Linked DNA regions of Struthio camelus. The protein of the gene in region 1 interacts with the protein of each later gene in a pairwise test. Links are inferred from orthologs where the notes say so. Each region holds a gene or a part of one and is shown on either strand. Other genes may lie near its edges.

Evidence for each region.
Region 2: the proteins of RANBP9 (region 1) and MKLN1 interact in a two-hybrid assay, tested with the Homo sapiens proteins (2 studies listed by BioGRID). The link is inferred for Struthio camelus from reciprocal best matches to the Homo sapiens genes RANBP9 and MKLN1.
Region 3: the proteins of RANBP9 (region 1) and OPRM1 interact in binary tests that used the Homo sapiens proteins (3 or more experiments, as listed by UniProt). The link is inferred for Struthio camelus from reciprocal best matches to the Homo sapiens genes RANBP9 and OPRM1.

Annotation. Positions count from the first base shown.
Region 1 is NC_090943.1:97,936,117-97,943,936, forward strand, and holds the start of RANBP9 (ran-binding protein 9), read right to left. Parts: upstream 3,043-7,820; 5' UTR 2,905-3,042; coding exon 2,460-2,904; intron 1-2,459. UniProt on the Homo sapiens protein: May act as scaffolding protein, and as adapter protein to couple membrane receptors to intracellular signaling pathways. Acts as a mediator of cell spreading and actin cytoskeleton rearrangement.
Region 2 is NC_090942.1:4,288,625-4,295,557, reverse strand, and holds the start of MKLN1 (muskelin), read left to right. Parts: upstream 1-3,850; 5' UTR 3,851-3,942; coding exon 3,943-4,034; intron 4,035-6,933. UniProt on the Homo sapiens protein: Component of the CTLH E3 ubiquitin-protein ligase complex that selectively accepts ubiquitin from UBE2H and mediates ubiquitination and subsequent proteasomal degradation of the transcription factor HBP1.
Region 3 is NC_090944.1:79,751,738-79,759,760, forward strand, and holds the start of OPRM1 (mu-type opioid receptor), read right to left. Parts: upstream 3,071-8,023; coding exon 2,724-3,070; intron 1,019-2,723; exon of another isoform or gene 1-1,018. UniProt on the Homo sapiens protein: Receptor for endogenous opioids such as beta-endorphin and endomorphin. Receptor for natural and synthetic opioids including morphine, heroin, DAMGO, fentanyl, etorphine, buprenorphin and methadone.

The DNA.
Region 1 (7,820 bases):
ACAGGTGCCTATATATTAAGGTAACAGAAAATACAGGAAAACTGCTTTTGATTATGAGCTTTGGACAGACCTGTCTTTTTCCTCCTTCCCCCTGACTATGTTGGTCTGGAATACAACAGATCTTTATTCATACTCAATGTGTGATTCAAATTCCCTTTCTAAGAAAAACATCTTCCATTCTTTCATCAGTGCTTAGATAGCTTCAGAAGTACACAAAGTGCCAGTATTCCACAAGAAGATACTTTGAAAGCTTTCAAGACTTCTACTTGGAATTGATTTGTAGCATGAAATCATGTGAAATGTTCTCTCTGTCTTCCCTATTCTCCTCACTGACCTTCTTAATTCTCTTCTCTTTTATCTTATTCTTCAGGATGAGGGTTCTGGGGGGGAGGAGAGGTAGCAGATGTTTAGTGCTGCTTCTTTCCCAGGTCTCATGGGTAGGAATGCCCTGATACCACTCATTGCTTAGCCCGGTTAGCACCTCCAGGTGCCAGGCTGGTAACATATACATAGCACTGCTCTAATAGCCACCTTCATTAAATTACCAGGAAGAAAAGATGGGCCACTAAAGGGGCCACTCACTCCCATTTGCAGCTAAGAGACAGAAAAGTACATACATATTATATTTGCACCTTTCCTTTTCACACTCCTCTGGACTAATCTAGGAACTCTTCAGCCTTCACCTCACACTATTATTTAACAGCTAAGTAAAGGTGCTTAATTATCATAACCTACCAACCGTGCTGCGTGACTTCTGGTAGAACATCCAGAACATTACCAGTATTTCAGAAGCACGTGCAGCCTGCTGTAATTTCTTTGAAGTATGATTTTCTTAACACTTAGGCAAAAGACAGAAGAGAGGAAAGAGCGGAAAAGCGCCAAGAAAGCTTGAAAATATACTTCTACAATTACACTGACCGACCAGAGAGGTTCCATCTCTAAATTCTAGTTCATAAGCAATAAAAGTCAGTCAAAGCAAAACAAATAAGCAGAATGACTTGGTGGCCATAGAGCTATGCTCATGCCATGAAAAACACCACAGCCACTAAGCACCAGAAAATACAAAATGCTTCTAAAAATACAAGGTCATAAAACACTGAACAAAAGCCAGGAAATTCGGAGTTGAATACTAAATAACATGTCCTTAAATCACTCAGTGCCTCCCTGAAACCAGCCCTATAGCTAGTCATCAACCTCCAAATTTATTAGCTTTGTGTGGTGCGTTAAACTTAGCATTTTTAACAGAGTATTTTGCATGTAACAGTAAAGCCTCTCTGTTAAAAAAAAGTCTTATAGAGTACATTTAATCCTTTCATGGTAGCCAAATCCTACCATGTGTTTGTGTTGCTGTTTTCCTCCTCTGATTAAACAGTAACATGTTTATCGAGATTTCACTTGAATTTCACTACTGTAAACTCTGAGAAAGGGTAATTGCAAGGTTGTTTTTTCCCCTCCCATTACGTTCATTTGACTACAGACTGACAAAAGATCCAATTCTTCACAGCCAGCTCAGAAGTGGTTTTCAATCCCCAACACTTCTACTTTAGGACTTGGGCCTAGAACACCAGATGTGCCTGTGTTTTTTTCAGGTCGGCGTGTACGCGTGTGTTTCCAGGTTCTATGACATTTCATAACAATCAGCACTTAAGTTTCTCTACTCTTACCTCCTGCTGATTTATACAAACACATACTTTCATTTTTATCTTTTCTTAGGAGATCCGTAACCTTAACTCTGAAGCAGGTTAAGCACAAATCTATAAAATCACCCTGTTTCATGTAAGTCCTATTGTCACTCCTTCCCTGAAATCACTCTGCAGTCTGTACAATGCCCAGGCATGCCTACAGTCAGTGACTTTAATTCCATTTTTCACAGTTTAAAAATAAAACCTGTTTTTCTCTGTGCTTTCCCCTCCCCATCATTTCCGTGTTTAATAGCTTAACGCTTGCTGCTCTTAACTCCATTTAAGCCTTACTCTTCTCGACAGAAAGAAAAAAAAAAAGAAAAGAAAACAACCACCCCACACTTCTTTTCTCGCTCATTACCATAAACAGGACACGTCATTCCGATTCTCCTTTATCCTCCTGCCTTATTCCCAAACCTTCTGGCGACACCTGAATCCTCGGAGGAAGTCGGAGAGTTTACATAATGCCCCCTCCACAAGCAGGAGCAGGCGGGGGCGGCCTTCGGCTCCCCCCCCCCCCGCCCGCCCCAAACACCAAGGCAGCAAAGGGGGGAAGGGAAAGGATAGAAAATAAAGCTGGAAGAAGAAAAAGCATGAGCTTCCTGCTCCGTACTGCGCACCATTTAGGGGTCCAGAAACAAAACAACATGAAAATGGAGAGAAGAAAGAGAGAGGGCAGCGTGTGCTGTTTCCTGTTATTGTTGCTCCTGCGCCCGCCGCCGGGGCCGGGCCGGGCAGCTGCCCCGGGCCCGGGCAGGGGGCGGCGGCGGCCCTCACCTTTGTAGTGCACCCGCAGGTTGTTCTGCGAGAGGCCGATGTAGCTGAATTTGTCCTTCGGGCTCCAGGAGCGGGGCAGCGGCGTCTCCTGCTCGTCCACGGCCGGGTAGAGCCTCTTCAGCCGCCGTTTCAGCTCCTTCTCCTGCTCGTTGAGGGCCGGGTCGCCGTGCGGGAAGGGCGCCGGGGCGCTGCTGGTGCCCCCGCCGCCGCCGCCCGCCGACAGGCCCAGCCCCGCCGCCGCCGCCGACCCGCTGCTGGCGGCGGCGGGCGGCGGCGGCGCGGCGGTGGCCGGCGGCGGCGGCGGGTGGAGCAGCAGCGCGGCGGCCGGCGCGGGGCCGGCGTTGGCGGCCGGGGCGATCGCCGGTGCCGCCGGCGGAGCGGCGGCCGCCAAGGGGAGCTGCGGCGGCGGCGGCGGCGGCTGTTGTTGCTGCTGTTGCCCGGACATCCCGGCTCCGGCCTCCTCCTCCTCCTCCTCCTCCGCCGCCACCACCACCTCCCGCGGTCGCGGCTGTCACCGGACGGGCCCGGGGCGGAGCGGAGCGACGGGCAGGCCCGGGCGCTGCCGGAGGGTTACACGGCTGGTCACCCCCAACCGGAGCGTCCGGGGGAGGGAGGGAGGGAGGGAGGGAGGGAAGGGGCGATGACGACGGTTGCGGCCCCCGGGGGTGCGCGATGGGAGCGGGGGGGAAGGCCCCGGCGCGGCGGAGCGGAGCGGAGCGGAGGGAGCTGCCGGCGCGAGGAGAGCGCTGGGGAGGCGGGGGGGGAGGGGGGAAGGGGGAGCGGCGCCGCGCGCCGGGCGGAAGCGAGGGCGGGCGGAGAGCGCGCGCCAGGCGCCGCGGCCGAGCTGCCTCTGCTTCCCCCTCCCCTCCCCTCCCCTCCCCTCCCCTCCCCTCCCCTCGCGCCTCGCGCGCGCGCGCTCTGTCCAGCCCCGGCGCGAGACGCCGCCGCCGCCGTGCGTCCCCGAGTCAGCTGAGTTCGGCTCCCTGCCCCCCGCCTCCTCCTCCCTCCCTCTCCCCCTCCCCCGGCGGGGCGAGGGGCGGGGCCTCCGGACCTCGGCGGGCGCGAGGCCGGGCCGTTGTGGGGCGGTTGGCTGGGCGCGCGCCGGGGCGCGAGGCCGGCGGCGGCGGTTACACCCCTTCCCTCCCACCGCCGCCGCCGCCGCCGCCGCCGCCCTCGGGGGTTAGTTGTGCCGCCGTCCGCGCAGACGGATGCAGAAAAGAGATGGCGAAGGGGCTGGCCTCGCCTCAGGGGTGACCCTCGCCGGACGGGCCCCTGCTCCCCGTGCCGGAGTGCGGTCGCCATGACGGCAGTAAACCGAGGCCCAAGCGGGATGGCCCAGCAGACGCTCGAAAGCTTGGGGGTTCCTGGACTGACGAGGGCGGGAAAAGCAGAGCAGTGTTGTTGGGCTTTTTTTTTCTTCTTCTTCCCCCCTTCTCCTTTGGCTTGTGCTTTGAGGAATATTTTTGCCTATACTTAATGTCAGCGGTTGTCTGCGCTGAGATTTCACGTGGTGACAATGAAAGAGAAACACCTACAAACAGGAAAGCCTGGCTCTGAAAACACCAGAAGAGGAAGGGGATGTCACAGACGGGTCTAGAACCTGAAATGTTAGGCGCTTTACAAACCCATTTCCGGCTGCCAGCCTGTTGGAGAACAAGTCCAGAAGCAGGAAATAGAGGAGGTTAATTATGCTTCCACTGTGTGAAATGGCAGATGAGGTAATATGAGTGTGACACTCAGAAAGCCTTGTAAGAAGCGAAACATCGTTCTGTGCCTGTAGTCACCAAAATATCCTGTCACATGAGACAGCTCTATGATGACTTGTAGCATCTATGGCTCGGCAAAATCTGATATCTATAAATAGCCTATCAAAGAGAGCTGCAAACTGTACGAAAGTAGAAACATCTAGGATGGAGGCCAGAATACATACTGGATCCTACCTGGTTATCCTGGCACTGGTAGGCTATCTCCCAGTAGGTCCAAGTTTGATTTGTAATATCTAGAGGTTAGTGTAAACCTAGGAGCTTAAGATTAAATTTAGAAAATTTAGCATTTGGTTAGCATTCACTGTTTTGATTTGGGACATCTTGTTATGTTCATAAATGTAGATGTAAACATCCAACCCTTTTCTGAATTTCAGGGTTTTTTTTCTGTTTTGCCTTGGCTCCTGACTGAGCCAAGTGTCATAAGCTCACTTATGTTTGCGCAAAAATATTTCAGTCACCCATTCTGAATTTGCCACCATCGAGTTCCTGTTCTTGTACAATGAGACAGGAGAGCAGGTGTTTCCATGCTGAACTCTTGACGTTATTTGCTACTCTTTTTGCTTATCCTCTGTCATTTATCAGTCTCTAAGGTAAATAGTCCCAATCCATTAAAACACTCTTTTTTTTTTTTTACAAGTGCCTTTTCCTCAAAATATGCCCCGAGGCAGATATGGAAATCTCCTTGTCCATATCACTTTTTCTGAGGTGGGATGTATTGTACACTGTTCCTGAGGAGAAAACGAATTTCTTTTATAGAGGTATTCTAATACTTGGTGTTAATCAGTATGTTATTTATTCCGTCTGTGTTCTAACAGCTTATTTGTTTTCTGACTACAGCTTCTTTTGGATTAGAGAGGTCACGTAGATATTTACATAAATGGCCAGTTTCTGCTTTTGAATTGATGTAAATAAATTAGAACTTGTCAGATGTAGAAGCAGTACACGTTTTCCTCTCTAACATGCATTATTTTGCATTTTCAGCATTGAACTTAATTTACCATTACACGATCCATTCCATTTTATTAGGTTTTCCTCATCATCACATTCCCCTCTTGTCTTGCTTAACTGAAACAATTATGACAGCTGCAAATTTTACAGTCTCACAATACAATCATCTTTCCAGATCAGTAGCAAATACGGCAACAATAGGAGACTTGCTACACAACCCTGAAGCAGGCTGTCATTGACCTTCTGCCATCACAGCAACTAGCTGTTGAATCCTGCTCTTTGTCTTCTGTCTCCAGTTTCTGAGTTGTGATAGTACTTTTCCTCTTGCCCGGTGATTACTTAGCTGCTTGAGTCATTTCTGGCTTAGAGACTTAATCAAAGGCCTTTTGAAATGCTATAAAAAGTGAACTAGTCCACCAATATCTCACTGGTTTTGGGGTGGAGTTTGTTGACAGTTTCAAAGAATTTTAGTGGATAGATCAGCTAGCAATTACTTTGCTTTGCAGAAAGCCTGATCAGGCCTAATTCTACATGTGGAGATTGTCTTCTCTCTGCGTGCTTTTTATTTACATTTACTTTTAGTGACTCGTTCAACCAAAGAAAACACAATCTAAGCCTTGCAGCAATTGAGGGCATTTCTTTGGTCTCCCGTTGGACATATCAACAGGGTGTCAATATGTCCGACAGAGGTTTTAACATCAGCGCAGGTGATTAGTTCCCTCTCTCACTCCAGGACCCTGGTCCTGCTGACAAACGTACTGCGTGAACATCAGCTCACCCTAGGGACTCCAGTCAGTCCTCTCCTTGGGGAATCCGGAACTCGAACAGAGGCCAGAGCAGCCCCTGACTGACACCCTCTAGACAGTATCGGTAAGAATAATACATTCCTGGTTGCGTAAGCACATCCTGTTCTCAAAACAGAGCATTCTGCATGACTTCAGCACTGCTGAGGTTAATTTAACTCTTGGATCCTGTGTTAGCTACTCTTCGTGTTTTCATTAAGGGTGAATAAGTGGGCTATAGCCATCTGTGCAAGTGATGCCGATAGCATTCTGGCTGTCGTCAGGAAACAGAGGCAGGATCCTCCTTGCGATTCTATTTCTGTGCATGTCCTTTGTCCCTCCTTAGGAGTGATCCTCATGGTAGTTACATGTGAATTTAGCGTGGATGCTAGTAGCTGCTACAGAGACAAATTTGCAGCTACTTTCTCTCTGAAATGTAATATCGTTTGTAGTGATGGTAACTGTTTGCTGTTCTTTGTTTAGTATTCCTTCTGCTTAAGTGCAATGCATACTTTCTTTGTAACTGTTTCAGAATTAATTTTCCATGCTTCAAGAAGCTGCTTGGAAATCAGCGGTATGATATTTATCTTTGTACCTACTGTGCTGAATTGCTGTCCTAATGAGAAAAGAAAACCACTAAGAAGTATGCTATGGTATTTCGACAGTGCTAAGGACAGATCTCTTTAAACCACCTGGAGGATTTTTGCTGAGCCCTTTGCTATTTTGGACTATTTTTTCCTGCTGATTTAATTGCTCATATATAGTATGGGCCCGATGAACTGACAAATGAAAGGCTTGCAAAAATGAGTTACGTATGAATTATAGGCCATCATCAGCTATTAACTTTGTTAAATCAAATGGTAATCGAGTTGCAATTTACAGCATTACTATATTGCTGCTCGCACATAACACAGCGCTTCTGTTTTTACAAAACTGAGCAATCCGCTAATGAAAATAATTTTGCTGTATGAGTCAAATACACCTGCGCTTATCTTAGACCAAGAGTGATTGGAAATCTCTCTTGGTTGCCAATGATTCATGTGTGGGTTTTTTATTTAGTTAGTTAGTTTTGATACTTGAACAATAGCATGTATACATGGCAGGAACGGGCTTGTTTTCTGTATTCTGTTCTTTTCCCTTCCAGTATCTAGAGGAACACTGTGAGGTACTGGGATTTCAGGTTTTATGGAAGTATGATCTAATCTTTGAACAAAATCTCACCACATTTAATCTCTATAATCCAGTTTCTTACCCTTGAAGCTATCTGTCCTTTTCTGATGGCCAGCTGCATAAAGTTATTATCGTAAAGTCAGATCATTTTCAGTTTGGAATTTAGCTTGATAAGCTGCATTTTGTTGATGAGTTTAAAGTTGATACATAGTTACTTTATGTTTTTCTTCCAAGGTTTTGTTATTTGTAGCTCTTTACCATATTCACTTTCACACTGAAGAACAAGTACTTTTGATCATTTTTTGGTGCATAGGGCATTTTTTGCCCAGTAACAAAAGACAGTTTGAGGAGAACTGAACATCTGTTCATTATGAAAGATCATAAATAGAAGATTTTGTAGTCTTTGTTGTCTGGGCCACTGTACAAGCATCGTATTCTAATTAAAATGTCAACATGAGCACAGAAATAAAATGCCCTCCAAGCTGAGTAAAATATGTTTTACTCACAAGACAAATTTATGTGGGTGCAAAATAGAAAATATGATGAGACACACTGGTTTATTCCTTTTGTGAAAACAGATATCAAACTGTAACACGCTATTAGAGAAGTTATTCTCAGCAGGTCAAGAGCTGTTTCTGAGTCATCATAATTTTCTACTGAGGGTGCAAGCAAGCTGGCATGTTTTAAATGTTGAA
Region 2 (6,933 bases), on another chromosome or scaffold:
ACGCTATTTCCTCCAGCTTGTCTTTAAAGGTCTCTTTTCCAACAGCTGATCCGCTCTGCAGCTCCGGAGAGTACGTGAGATCCGGCTGGCCCACGGTCTAGCTGGTATGGCTGCGTGCCATGTTGTTGTTTGTGTTGCTTTCATTTTTTTGGCGTTGCTTGGCTCTTCCACGCAACTTGTTTTCATCCTGAACTATGCGCTCATTACATACCCAAACGCCCACGCAGGTTTGTGCAGGAGGAAACTCAAAACACACGCAGCAGTGGAGCGAGTCTGTGACGGCAGGCAAAATGTCTGTCTCCAGGCAGCCACAAACAACTGTCAAATCCCCGAGCTGTCCGCGGTCGGGTTTCAAGGTTTTCGACGACGAGCGTGATGTTGGCATTCGCACCCGTTTGCGCATTGTCCTGGCCAAGCAACGCGGACGACATCTCTTGGGGTCGCCCTGGCCTCTCCTGGCAACTCCAGCTACCGCCCCAGGCACCGTCCAGCCCCTCCAAACGCCGCAGGGACCTGTTGTTGCTGCTAGAAGAGATCTCACTTCCCCTCCAGAGCCAGAAATAGGCCTCCTCTGTAGGCTGGTTGCTTCATAACTGCCCTCTTTGGGGTTTCTCATGAGCTTCTCCAAAGCCACGTGTCTGAGCTGTGGCCAGAGGCGGTGCAGGGCAGCGGCGGTGCCACTGGACCCATCAGGTCCCATGGATGCGGCGTTGTCTTGGCACAACGTGGCCATGGACTAGGAGAGCGGGTCCAAGTAATCATGTTTTCCGAGTCCCTCTTACGCCACCGCGATCGAGCGCTGGCAGCCTCCCAGAGCAGGATGTGGCGAGCTCAGCTGGAGGCCGGTGGGCTGGCCAAGGATGTGTCACTCTGGCCCTCGGCACGCTGTGCTCCTCCCGCCGCGCAAAGCCTGCTCGGAGAGCTGCGGTGCTCTCCCCGTTCCCACCAGCCGGACAGACCGATCCCCAAAACCGGGAGAACAGGTCTGCCAGTGCGGTTTGCAGCCTCTTCGCTTCCTGCCCCAATCCTGTGCTCTGGAGGAGTAAAGATTTTCCAGAACTGTCACTGCAGTGGATTTCACTGGCGTTCGATTCCTTTCGTCAAAAACGTGCTAAAAATAAGCTGGCTCAGGGAGTAGGTTACTGCGTCCTGCCTGGCCAGGTCTTGAGGGGAGCAGTAACGGGATCCTGGGCAAAGTGGCTCCCGGGGGCGTTTTACCCTCACGTCGAGCCGTGAGCTTGTCTGCTGCTGCATGCCAGCAGCCCCTCCGCCACGCTCCCTCCTCGGGTGCGGGGCCCTCGCCTGCCGTTTGCTCCTAGTTCCGCAAGTTGCGTACGCAGAGGTCACAGGTTTGATTTCGGCATCGCCGAGAGCTCTTCTCGGCTCCCAGTTATGACATAGCATCTCTTATTCTGGAGCGGGTAATATCTTATTAGCGACATCCTTCATAAACTATTACCTCTGCAGTAGCCGGGGGTGGGGGGAAAAGAAAAAATTAAAAAAAAAGTCCTCAAGCAGAAGTCTCGATGAGTGAAATCTTAAACGCCACAGGAAGGCTGCAAACTTGCACACTCGTTACCAGAATGACTGAAGAAGTTTGTACTCGGTGCACGGCCACTGTTGCGCTGTCCTAGAGCTGCGCTGATACTAAGGAAAACGCTGCGTCCCCGCTCAGGGAACGGGTCTCGTCAAGGCATGGAGACCTTTTGAACGATGCAGTTGATGTTCAGCCGTCAACGCCGCTGAGCGAATTTTTCATCCGCAGCCAGGTTTCGTTGCTGTGTTCCAACTGTCTCTCCTAAAATAAGAGGAGGAGGGGGAAAAATCCTTGTGTTAATTTAATCTACTCAGGCATCTTTCTGTCCTGCCTGATAATAACTCTCCAATCTGTCATTTCCAACTGACATCTGTTTGTTTGCTTTTTTATCTTTATCTTGAAATACCTCCTTTCCTGAGCAGCCCAGAGGCGTCGCAGCGATGTCCCAAACCTTCCCCTTCCCTCTTAACCTCGCCGTCGGTGAAACCATCTCCCTTCTGCGGCTCCCTTAAAAAAAGAAAAATAAAGAAATAATTTAAAATGCAGAAAAAAACTTTAACAAGTCCTCCTGGAGACACCTGTCAAGGAATACCCACTTTACCAGCCGGGATGGCTCTGCAGGGGCGGGCAGAGCTCTCCGCCAAGTTATTAAATCAGATGATGCAGGAGGCATGAGAAACAGGCGGTGTTTTTTCCCATGGCAAGGCCCTGCAGGCCACTGCTTCGTGCAGGCAAGCTGCGGTACAGACTGGGGGAAAAAAAGCCCAGAAACAAGGAAAAAAATCCTTCTGACTGATTTTAGCTCCCGACGCTCCATTTCCAATCGCTTGCAAATGGGACAATTGGTAAAACAAGTGACTCCGTCCACGCACCAGTGAATCCGCTGCAAAGACAAAAACAACCACCCTGCAAACGCGTGCCTGCAGTGAATGAAAAGGCGGTGAAAACACGGAGGATGATTTGCCGCTAGTTTGTTCCACAAAACCATTTGGGATGCTCCGTCGTTCGTGTCGTCGGACGTGCAAGAAAGGTTACTTTAATCGATTTTACATCATTGTTCGAACTTTAATTCTACTTATTATTAACTTTTTATCTATTTACTGTCATGTATATTTAATTGCTTTAATCCATCTTTGGAAAAAATGAAACCCCAGCATTTTAACATGGCGTAATAAGTGTCGAAACAAGTTTCTTCCTTTTGGTGCTTCTTCTGCAGTAGAAAAAGTTACAGTCAAACATTTAGCTAATAAAACGGAGCAGGGGAGAACGACTAAGCTGACTTACGATACATATCAGCTAGAGAGCCAGCGCGCCATAAAATCCCGCCCCGGTTTTATTCGACCCCTTTCCCCGCTACGTACCAGCGGCTTCGGTCTGACGGGCCGGGCTCTAATTTTAAGTTATTCTGGGATGGAAAAAGAAGACACCACGGCCTAATTAAATCCATGCAGCGGTGCTTTGACTGGCGGAGGAAAACAGACGACACGCAAGAGATGAGGGAGGAATCATTCCGTCCCCAAAAACATAGCGACAAGGGTAAAAAGGATGTCTTGCCGTTGCTCGGGCAACGCCGAGCCCAGCGCGGAGGAGAAGCGGACAGAAGGAAAAGAAACTTCTTCACCAGGGCGAAATGAGCCTCAAGGTGGGGAGGAAGCTCCGGGATCACCATAAATTGCTGTGAAAATCGCCAAAACCCCACGGCTGCCCTTAAAATTAGTCCTGCGGCACGTCTCCCACTGGTGACCCGTGGCCCCCACGGTGCCCCATAGTGTGGCCCCCACGTCTCCCACTGGCAGTCTATGGCTTAGGCACCCCACTGGTGACCCACGGCCCCCACTGTGCCCCACGGCGTGGCACCCATGGGGACCCCAAGGCCCAGGCACCCCACTAGTGACCCAGCTCCCCCATTACACCTCAGGGAGACCCCAGAGCCTATGCAAGGCCTGGAAGACCCCCACTGGGGACACCACACCCCACTCGTGACCCACAGCCCTCACGGCCCCCAATGCACCGCGTGGCCTGCCACCCGTGGGGACACCACTCCCCATACACCCCACTCACGACCTCGGCCTGCGTGGCCCCCCCTGAATGCCCCATACCCCACTCACGACCGCGGCCCGCGTGGCCCCCCTGGCGCCCCCCAACCTGCATGTCCCCGAGTGGCCCCACTCCCGCCTCGTGACCGATAGCCCGCGTGGCCTCCATGGCACCCGCGGCCTAGGTGGCCCCCCAGAGCGGCCCACGCCGCCCACTCGCGCCGGCGCGGCCCCCTCACGGCCGCGGCCTAGACGCCGCCTGGCGCGGCCCGGCCCCGCCCCGGCCGCGCGGCCCCTTTAAGCGCGCGGGCCCCGCCCCGCCCCTGGCGGCCGCTGCCGGGCGCCGCGGCGGCCGCTGCCGACAACAAGATGGCGGCGGCAGGGCCGGCGGGCCCCGAGAGCCGTGTGCTGGGCTACACCCTGCACCGCTGGAGCAGCTTCTCCTCCACCTACCTGCCCGAGTGAGTGCCGCCGGCCGACCCCCCTGCCCCCCCCTTCCCTCCTGTCACCCCCCCGCGCCCCGCCGGCCTGCGCGGCGAGGGCGGCGCTGCGGCAGCGGCCGGGCCGCTGTGGCCGCCGCGGGGGGGGGGCTGCGGGGCGGCGCGGGCTCCTGGCCGTGGGGAGGGGGAAGGGCGGTGGGTGGAGGAGGGGGGGAGCGGGTCCGGGGGGAGCAGGGGGTGGGGGAGGGGGCCCCCGGCGGGGGGGGGCTCAGCGAGTGGGGGATGGGCGGGTGAGGGGGTTTGGGGAGGAGGGGCGAGTGTGGGGGGGGTCGGCGAGTGGGGGAGGGGTGGGAGAGGTCTGGGGGAGGGGCGAGTGTGTGGGGGGGGCAGCGAGTGGGGGAGGGGCGAGTCTGGGGGCTGCGAATGGGGGAGGGGCGGATGAGGGAGGGGTCTGGGGGGCGAGTCGGGGGGGGTCAGCGAGTGGGGGAGGGGCGGGTGAGAGGGGTCTGGGATGGGGGAGGGGCGAGTCTGGGGGGTTTGGGATGGGGGAGGGGCGAGTCTGGGGGGGTCAGTGAGTGGGGGAGGGGTCTGAGGGGACGGGTGAGTCTGAGGGGGGTCAGCGAGTGGGGGGAGGGGCATGTGAGAGGGGTCAGTAAGTGGGGGAGGGGCGAGTCGGGGGGGTCAGCGAGTGGGGGAGGGGCATGTGAGGGGTCAGTAAGTGGGGGAGGGGCGAGTCGGGGGGGTCAGCGAGTGGGGGAGGGGCATGTGAGGGGTCAGTAAGTGGGGGAGGGGCGAGTCGGGGGGTCAGCGAGTGGGGGGGCATGTGAGGGGGTCAGTGAGTGGGGGAGGGGCGAGTCGGGGGGTCAGCGAGTGGGGGAGGGGCGAGTCTGGGAGGGGTCTGCGAGTGGGGGAGGTGTGGGTGAGCAGATGTGGGGGGGACAGCAGGTCTGGGGGGGCAGGCCATGGGGGGAGGGGCGGACCATCGATGTTAATTAGATAAGGCAGCCTGTGGGGTAGGGGCTGACAAGCAGGTTTTGGGGGGGGCGGAGGGCCTATCCCTCGCTTGTGGGAGGGGGTCCGTTTTGTATGGCCTGCGAGCGGGGTGGGAGGGGGTGGCCCCCCCCCCCCAGGTGTGGGGCGGGCAGGGTGCGTGGCAGGGGAGGGCTCATGCTCCGCCGGAGTCCCATCCCGGGATCCCGTGTCGCCGTGGGTGTGAGGCAGTCTCCTTTCGACTTGCTGATATTAAAATTGGGGATGGCCGGGGTACAATCTAGAGGTGTGCTTGTCGGCGTGTTGTCCTCCGCGCTGGAGAGCAGGAGCGGGGTTAAAAATACACTCTTGGGACACTTTGGTCGTTGCAGGCTGCCGCAGAGCTTTGGCTCCCGATTGCATTGAAATTTATAACCTTCGATTGGGGCTAGAGGACTTAAAGACACCTTTCAACAAGACACCTTTCTCACTTTTGATTATATTTTGATTAATTTCATGAATTATCTCTGTAATCTAAAAGGAAGTTCGTTGCCAAAAGCTTTTCTGGCTACAACTTTAGTCGTTGCATCTCTTTATACCTTTGCTGGGTTAAGTATGGAGAAGACTTGGACCTCTTTTCTCATTGTTAGCCTTTGGTGAGAACTAAGTCATCACTCTGCCTTTTCCTTCTTGAAAAGACTTAACTTGCACAGAAAGGCATTTCTTTCAGGACTGGGATCGTTCTTGTAGTTTTTCAGCAGTGTCTCTGGCTTCCAGCATTGTATTAAAACTTGGTCCCTGAATGGGAGGGCGACAGTCCATTATTGATCTTCCTGATGCAATATAAAAAGATAAAAGTGTCTTTCTCCTTGATACTCCTTTCCAAGGTTCCCGTTAGTCCTTTTGCCACAGATTTGTGAGGAATTAATGCCGACATGGTATCTGCAGTGCTGCCCAAAGACCTTAATGTCATTGCCTTCCATGATACAATTCCCTTTTCTGTAATATGGTTGGTGTTTTACAAGTGTATGACCTTGCGTGTGACTGTTTTTAAGACAGTGTTTAGAAGAGCTTATCACCAATAGAAATAACTGGAACAAGTTTTAAGCTGTGTTCAATAATTCCAGCTGTGGGGTTATTGTGTAGCATACTGACCTTCATCCAGGGGGTGTCGTTTCTAATATTTATGTGCTTTCTTCTGGCCTGTAGTGAAAATATTGGATAATGTCATGAGGAGAGTGCCCCTTATGAAACTTTGTTTTTTTGCTTGATGTCTGCTAATTTTGCCTCTCTCGTATTCTGGGAGAGAACTTAAATGCCACCTGAAATGGAGGGGGAAGGTTCTGACCTGGGACTTAAGATTAGATTCTCAAAAGGAGAAAAAAAATTGTAGAGAAAACATACAGGGGGAAAATAGAGGAGGGAGTGCTGATGGAAATCCGTGCTGCAGGATGACTATACAGCTGCAGCTAGAAGTTTTCTTGGTCTTTAATACACAGATGAAAAGTTATGCTTTTGTGAAGGGGGACTAGGAATTCTGGTTACACCATAGTTTAAATAAGTTTGTTTACAAGCCTAAGTAGGAAGAAACCACTTCCACGAAAGGGACTTCTGCCATAATATGTGCAGGAATACACTACTGCTATGATGATATCGCTTGTCATTGGGAGCATGCTTACTACTGCTGCACTGTTGCTAGCAAAATGTGTTTTGGAAGAGGAACAAAATAGCTTACCCGTGTTCCGCGTAAGCTAAGTGCAATTTAAACACACTTCTTAAATACTTATATAGCTTTAAATGTAAAACAAAGCTATGAAATAAAAATTTTTCCTCTGTGCTCTTTAGGGGATCTGCATATCTGAAACCTGCTGCTGACCCATGTGTTCCGGTCTACAGACCGCTGTGAAATCACCTATTAAGCGTTCTTTTCCATAAAATAAAAAAGAACGCT
Region 3 (8,023 bases), on another chromosome or scaffold:
TTCCCCCAAAAATATTTCTAAAGAAGCTGAGATTATGGCGCAATGGCAACATGCAGCACTGGGTAAGAAGTCACTGTTGCTTTCACTGGGGCTAGATTAACAGAGGTGAGTAAGGGACAGTGTTTCAGATTTTTAAGCACCTGCCTCCCAACTCCTAGCATTTCCAGGGTAAATTAGGTATCCATCCTTGCTTTTAAAATCTGATTTCTAGTACCCTCAATCTGTCTCAAATTTAACATAAACTTCAAGACTTAGCTCTTCCTGAGCAGGTGTGGTGCAAGAAAAAAAAAGAAAAGGAGCTTTATATGACGTCAAATTCAGTCCAGTGAAAGGTTTGCTCCTATCTTCCGCTGGATCCAAGGATATATGAGCACATGCACTCATCATTTGCATCATGCATATCAACTGGGAATGACTGGGAATACTGGCATCTTAGTACACCTTGCAGCAGGAAATAAATAAAAAAGTTCCCTACTGTAGTGGAGGTAGACTAAACCTACAGAGAAGCATAGAAAGGAAATGCATTTTTGTGTTACTTAAACCACAGATCCTATTCAATCATAACATGTATGTTCTTCTTCATTCCAAATTGGTAAATAGCTGCATGATATTAATTGGGAAGCAACTCTGTCATATGGAAAGCTGCTCCTGCCGTTAAAGCACAGCAGACCTGCATTCAGTCTGTCTTTGCCATACAATTTCTGGATGGTGTTCAAGAAGCCATTTAATGTTCTTGTACTTTCATCTGTAAAATGAAAACACATTTTTGTTTTCTCCTATTACTTCTGACTTTTGTTTTTAGATTGTAATCTTTGGGAAGACGCTCTCTTTAAACAGGTATCTAAATGCAGGTGCCTTGTTCAATTTGACTTTGCAGTGCAAGCGTAATTCAGTTAATAAATAAAAGAAATATGAGCATACCACAGGTTATATCCAGTATATATACATAATCCCAGGGACAACTTGAGGCATATTTCTCTGTCGACAACCATCCTGGCTCTGTTATATTGTGCATCTGCTTTTTCTCGCAGAAGGATGCATACAACACTTGCTCAGACAATTGTAATCATGCCCCTGTTCAGAAGCATTTCTACAGCTGTATCTTAACATGCAAATAGCCTGTGTCTCAGGCTGACCAAAACCACACAGCAGTACAGATCTTCCCAGTGCTGTATATTTAAAATACAGCCTCTAAAATGTAGTTAAGCACTAGGTTTGTGGATTGCTACGGTTTGAACCACTGATGCATGTAATGTAATCTCTAGTCGCATTAGGTCTACAAGCCATGCTGGTTTTGACCTCCCCAACATGCTGCTACACACTGAAGGAACCAATCTCTGCTGTGCTGCAGCATCCTACCTTGAGCATTTTTCTTTTCTCTAGCTAGTGCTCCCAGTGCCGAGCGTGCCCTGAAGCCTCCCCGGTGCTGCTGGCCTGCGAGCAATGTCTGGCACCAGCCTCAGCTTCCACCTGTGAGGTCCCTGCAGCCGTGGCACCCGAGACTGATGGCTATGTGGCTGCTACCCTACTGCAGTGAATGTCAGCCTAGCTAGCCCCAGTGTGTTTTTAGAGTTCCCTATTACCCTGACTCCTTGGGAAATGTACAGTTTGAAGGGAAAAAGTGAAGGATGCTTTGAAAACTTGGGGAAACTGGGCGGCCTGGGGCTGTCCCGGCGGGGATGGGCGCACCCCAGGGCACTCCCTCCAGCAGCGCCCCGCTGGGCTCCGCTCGGCTCCCTGGCTGCTCTTCTCCGCGTCCCTCCAGATGTTGAAACCACGAGGAGCCAGGAAGGAAAGAGGCGCTGGGTGAGCCCCCGTGCCGGGCCGGGTCCCCGGGAGGTGGCGATGTTCCCCCACCGAAGCGGCCCGCCCCCATCCCGGCCGGGTAAAGGAGCCCGTTTAATCTCGCCGCCACTCGCCTTCCGCGAGAGGATCCCGATTTACCGCTGTGGGGTTTCTCGTGCGTGGAAGCCACAGACAGATGTGAGGGACCTGGGCAACACCTGGGCGCGCTGCGCGGCGGCGGCCGCCCCCCGCCCGCGGCTGGCGCGGGAAAGCTGCGAAATGGTGCAGCACTGCCGGATAGCTTGATTTCCTTATAGTGCGCGCGATCCTTTTATATACATCTATCTGTCTACACACATGTATACACAGACAGACACACACACACACACACATATATATATTTATATCTCAACGCCTTAGGCCGGGGAGCTATAAATCCAGAAGACAGAGGCACTTAGCCGTGACGCTGTCTGCATTTTGCTTGTTTGGGAGAGGTGAGGGGAAAGACGCGGGGATGTGCGCGAGTGTCTATACCCAGACGCTCACGGGTAGTGGCTACAGTCACTCCTGCCGCCCTCCTGCCTCGGCGGCCAGGTGTGACGTTCGCGCCGCTGCTCGCTCACGGCGCTCCCAGCCGCAGCCGCGTCCCCCCGGGGGCCGGGGCAGCACCTCCCCGGCTGCCAAGCGGCGCTGAGGGGCCGCGCTGCCCGGCCGGTCGTCACGGCCGCCGCCCCGTCTGAAGAGCTGCTCTCCCCGGCCACTCGCCCCGCAGCTTTCTCAAAAGCCTCCCTCCCCCGCGCCGGGGCAGGAGCCCCAACGCCCCGCCGGCACAGCCCCTTGCGCACGTCCCCCCTGCCCCGAAGAGGCCCCGGGGGGCGCGGCAGCTCCGCGCCCGCCCGCCCGACGGCAGCGGGGCCGGGGCGCTGCAGCCGACTCACCGGATGATGACATACATGACCAAGAAGTTGCCGAAGAGCCCCACCACGCAGACGACGGAGTAGAGGGCCATGATGGCGATGGCCGTGACCACGGAGGGGCCGCCCGCCGCGGGCGCGCAGGGCCCGCCGCCGCCCGCGCTGCCGTTGCCGCCGCCGCCGCCGCAGGGCTCGGAGCGGTCCCAGCCCGCCGCCGCCGAGCCGTTGCCCCAGGCGCCCGACGGCGCGGCCGGGCAGGGCGGCGCGGCGGGGCGGCAGGCGGCGGCCGAGGCGTTGGCGGCGAAGGGGGCCTCCAGGGCGCCGGCGAGGAGCGGCGCGGAGCCGTTGCCCAGCAGGTAGGCGACGGCCATGGCGCGGCGGGGCCGCCAGCCTCGCGGCCGGCGCGGCGAGCCCGAGTGGCGGCGGCGCGGGCGGTGCCGGGCAGGCGGCGGCGGCGGCGGCAGCAGCGGTGCCCGCCCGCCCCGACGGCGCGCCCCGCCGCTGGGCGCCGGCACGTGTGTGCGGCGGGCGGGCCCGGGAGGAGGAGCCCGGGGCCGCCGCGGGGAGGGCGGGCCGGAGGCTGGGCTTCGCCCGCCACTGCCCTTTCTGGCGCGGCGCGGGCGGCTCCGGCGTTGCTGGTGTCGGCTCGGCCCGCCGAGGGCGCCGCAGGAGCGGGCTCGGCTCTGCCCGAGGTGAGCCCCGCCGCCCCCGGCAGCTGGCGCGGAGCCCGGCGCGCTCCTGCGGCGCCTCTGGAGGGCCGTGAGGAGCGGGGGCGCTCCGGCAGATCTGCCCGCACAGCACTTACAGTGCTCCCTTCCCGAGCCCCGAAAGCACCGGTGGCCAACCCGAGTGAGACGGCACCCGGGCAGAATGACTTAACGGGCTGCACGCTGGGGAGGGGAGGCGATCAGTGTGCAGCTATTAGCATCGCGAGTCAGGGGCCTTGACAAAACGTCGCCCTCTCTGATTATATAGCTTGGAGGAGAGAGCGCTGAGCCTAGTAATAAAATGTGGTGAACCGTACAGCACCACGCTGGGAGGGGATTGTGACCAGAATTGTGCTTTAGAAATGACTTGGATATCACCAATCCTCAGAATTTTCAGAGGACCTGGTGCTTCACTGCTCCAAGGATCCTCTCCCATAGACATTGGTGTGATTGTTATCAGATAGGAAGACACAAAAAAAGTATCGAAACTGGAAGGCTGGGGACATGTATTGTGCAGTATGTTCGCCTTGCACGCTCCTTATTTGCATCGGCACATTTTTGTGCTCAGTTTGTTGCTCAGTTGCTTGACTGCTTGCAGGTTCTTCATTGATTAGTAGAACCAAGCTCTTCTACTGTCTCATCAATGAAATCAAAGGAGATCCTTGGTAAGGGAGAAAAAAATCTCCAACTGGGGAAGAAGGTGACAGAGTGGGAGTGATTGCTCCTCCTGCTTCATTGCGGACTCACGCTTAGTGCATCTGCTTGCCCTGTGCATAGCACCTCCAGCTACTTCAAGAGTGTAATGGCAAAAATGGAGAAGAGGAGGCGAGTTGCACCATACCAGAGAGATGCAAAAGGACAGACGTTTTAGTCAGAGTTGTTCCTGCGCTTCCATGATACAGGCAATGGCAGCTAAAGTCGATTAGAGCAGGTAATGCTAGTAGAGGTAGACCACATGCTCTTCCTAAGTGTGATCATTAGCCATGGGGAGGAAAGCGAGGAAAAGGGAAAAGGATGCCATTGGAGTGGGAGAGGGCCATAGATCTGGGTAACGGCTATTCCTTTTTTAAAGTCTTATATTGTCAGGTGTTGTCAGAGATGTAATGGAATAGAGGAGGAAGATCAATTAAAGCTGTTAATGGGTGCTTTTTGTAGATAACATGTATAGCTTCATGGCCACAGAGAGTATTCTGAGCATCCTTTTGATGAGAGAGACATTTAACGTCATATTAAAAAAAAAAAAGAGGAGCTTTAGAACAGGACTTATATTCTCTCTGGAAAAATCTGTGAGAGAGTGGAAATGAAAGCAAGAACTCGGAGATTTCACATGCTCAAAATCACTGCCTCTTTATCGCCTTATGAAGTATAGCATAGTCATACACAGAGCAGGAGGCACAAGGCTTTAATGGGCCATTCTCAAACACTTGTATTTTTGAGTATGTGCATAGTGCAGGAGCCTCTCTCTGCACTTCCCCTTTCTTCCACCAAAGTCATCAGAAGATTTTCATGTAAGCCTCACAATTTGTAACAGTGGTATCTTTGGATGTGTACACCTATTCCTGGCTGTGTGAGGGATAGAAGATGGGTAACAAAACCCAAGGCTGCTGGGATGTCCTGTCTGAATCCTATATTACAGCCCATATGCCCGTATTTGTATTATATTTCAATCATCCTGGCTGTCAGAAGGGCCTCTGTTGTCTAAAAATGCATATCTTAAAAAAGTCTTAAAAACAGATGCCCGGGTGTTCTAGTCTAGTGTTATATACAAGACTATAACATTTAAGACTGAAAAATTAATACATCTGATTAAATCAACCTCTTGGCAGATGCAGATGAAAACTTGAACTGTAAAGAGGATTGGCAGCAAGCCCTGGGAGCTGAGCCTGTTTAAGATAGGCCTCATTAGACAAAATTTCAAAGGTAAAGGAAAGAAACATAGTTAAATGCTCATCACAAAGCTATTACAAGTGTTATTTCTCAAGGACATAGGCAATATGAAATAAATCTTAACAGTAACGGTTTCAGATGGTGAAGGACATTTTCAATATAATAATACATGAGACCATTTCTTCAAATAAATTCAGATAATGAAGGTCTGGATAGTCAACACTCTGCTGAAAAAGTACTTATGGAGTTGTAGACCTGTATTTCCTTCCTGTGGGTAGTAGCACAGTGCACACAGAAAAGGGAAAGACATGGCTTTGAGACTGTACATGACTGAAAACCTATGAGAGAGCCCAGAGATTACCAGTATGCTCCTGGCAAAATTGAAGTCTGTGCTGAGACCTCTGTTAAACACAGGGGTATTAAGTGAACTCTAGTTTTACCCTGGTATGGATATGACTGTGAAGATATGCTTGCTGCAGTGGTGTCGTTTGCTTATTTCTTAAAGGGAAGCTCCAACATCAGGTTGGTGTCAGAATCACAGCTTTCATGTTAAATCAGATTTTTGCTTGGCAAGTTCCTGTTTAGCTGTAACTAAAAATGGATGGGCAGAGAAAGAGTCAAAACTTGAACAAAATTCTACAGTGAAAATAGTATCCTAAAGACTGTCCTGGGAGTATTGGTCGGTGAAGTTGCTCTGGTACAGTTATATATATCCACAGTGACACCAGAGTTTCGTGAAGCAGGTTCACTTCCACAGTCTCTTTGGGATTCCTAAGCTAAATGGAAACCATGCACCTCACTTAAAGCCAAAGTAAAAAACAGAGCTGAGAGACAGGGTGTAGCAGCTTGGCACTCTGTAAAGGTGATCTCTATCCTATGGTGGTGCACCTCATTTCTTCCAGCAGCAGGGAAGGAAGGGGTTTGGGAGCAGGCTGTGCTCTCCATCAGGCTTGCTGGTGGAAGTTTTCCTTCTCCAAGCAAAGTGCAAGAGCAAAAGCCATGCAAGGTCTGTCTGTCCTGAGCAGAAGGAGTGGGAGACATTACACAAGAGTGGGCAAGGAGGATGGGATCTCAGTAATCCCACAGCCATTTTCCGCCATAGTCCTCAACTGGTTGTGAACCCCATCAAAGACAGATCCTCCTTTTTTCTCCTGAAGGACATCCTCAAGGCGATATAGTGATAGTGTTTTGGTAGCAGTATTGCAAAGATGCGCACTTTAAGTCATACATACCATATGAACAGGCTGCACGACTCTTGTTTTGGCTGGGTTTGGGCAGAGCAGACTTGTGCACGTTTAGAACAGACGACGTGTGGCCTTAACTTACGCCTGTACAAGATGAGTGTAGAATTCTACCGTGTTAAAAAAATAATTTCATAAGGTCTTGGGCAATAAGAAAATGAGATCTTATATCTTCTTACTATGTCAGACTAGTCTGTGGTGCTCACTGTGCAATGTAAGGAAAGTGTTGTGTTGAAAATGTTATTTAAGAATTTTCAGGCAAAGTTCTTAATTAATTTATAGTTTCAGTGGCCAGAAAGGACCATTCTGGTCATACTGTCTGATATTTTATGTAACACAGGTCATAATCTCTCTGTGTTGTGTTTCTTCATTTATTCTTTTACCCAAAGTGATGCTAATTGATATTAGCATTTCTCAGTCTCCTTAATTTCAGTCCAGTGTTTTAAGCAAACAATGTATTTCTCTCCAAAAATAATTAAAATCTCCGGTGTTCAAACTGTAGGAACTTTAAATATGATTTTTATATAATGATGCTACACAGTCCTGAGACCTGGATGCATAACTTAGACTACAGAGTTCAGATGATGAGAAATACTCATCATCTGAATTGTAGAGTTCAGCACTTTTTTTTCCACTTTTTTTTCAGGATTTATAAAAATGTTTAGCATTGCTCTTCTTTTGAAGAATCAGCTCCTCTTCTTTAGAGATGATGAAAGTTTTGTCAGCAGAAACCAGAGAGCTAGCTGCAGAAGAGGAGGTAAGAGTAATTGTTAAGTGATGACTAACGAGAAGGAACACAGAGGCCAGAGTATGGCACGGTTGCTAGGAGGGAGGCAGCAGTGAGAGGAAATATCCAGGATATGCGGGGCTAGGGTAGGACAGTGGTGTGCTACAGTAAAGAGGAGATGGATACGTGCTCATGGAGTTAAATGTGAAGCCAGCTCAATTTAGATGTCTACTACAAGTCAGTGTCAGAGACAAGATATTAGATGCAAGGTAGATCATTGCTTTGATGTAGCAGGGCTTTTCCTTCCTTGTTACAGATGTTTCGTTGTGAGGGAACCAGATGCTGACTTGGGAGGGTAAGGGTTATCCTGAGTCCTGCCGTTAAATTTATGTGTGCATCATGTACAGCAGTACGTTTGGAGTTATTGAGTAATTTGTGTTCTGTGCTAGCCAGGTGGGGACAGATTTGCTGAAGGAAGAGATTCTAGAGCGGCAGCTGGGTGTCCTAGAATGCCACTGTGAATTCTGGAGCTCTAGGAGTATGTACATGCTCATTACAGTTTCGATCCCTAAAATTAATTGAAGACTTTAAGAATTTTGATACTGAAATTCTTGCCTGATTTTCTTGCATATGGATAATAATCATGTATTAATAGCTCATCCAGGGTGTTGGTCTCCAGTCAGTTATCTTTGTGGAAAGTAGAGGTTTCTGTTTTCAGCTTTTTCTTCCATCACATCAAAAAAGCAGTCTCGGTCATCTGCA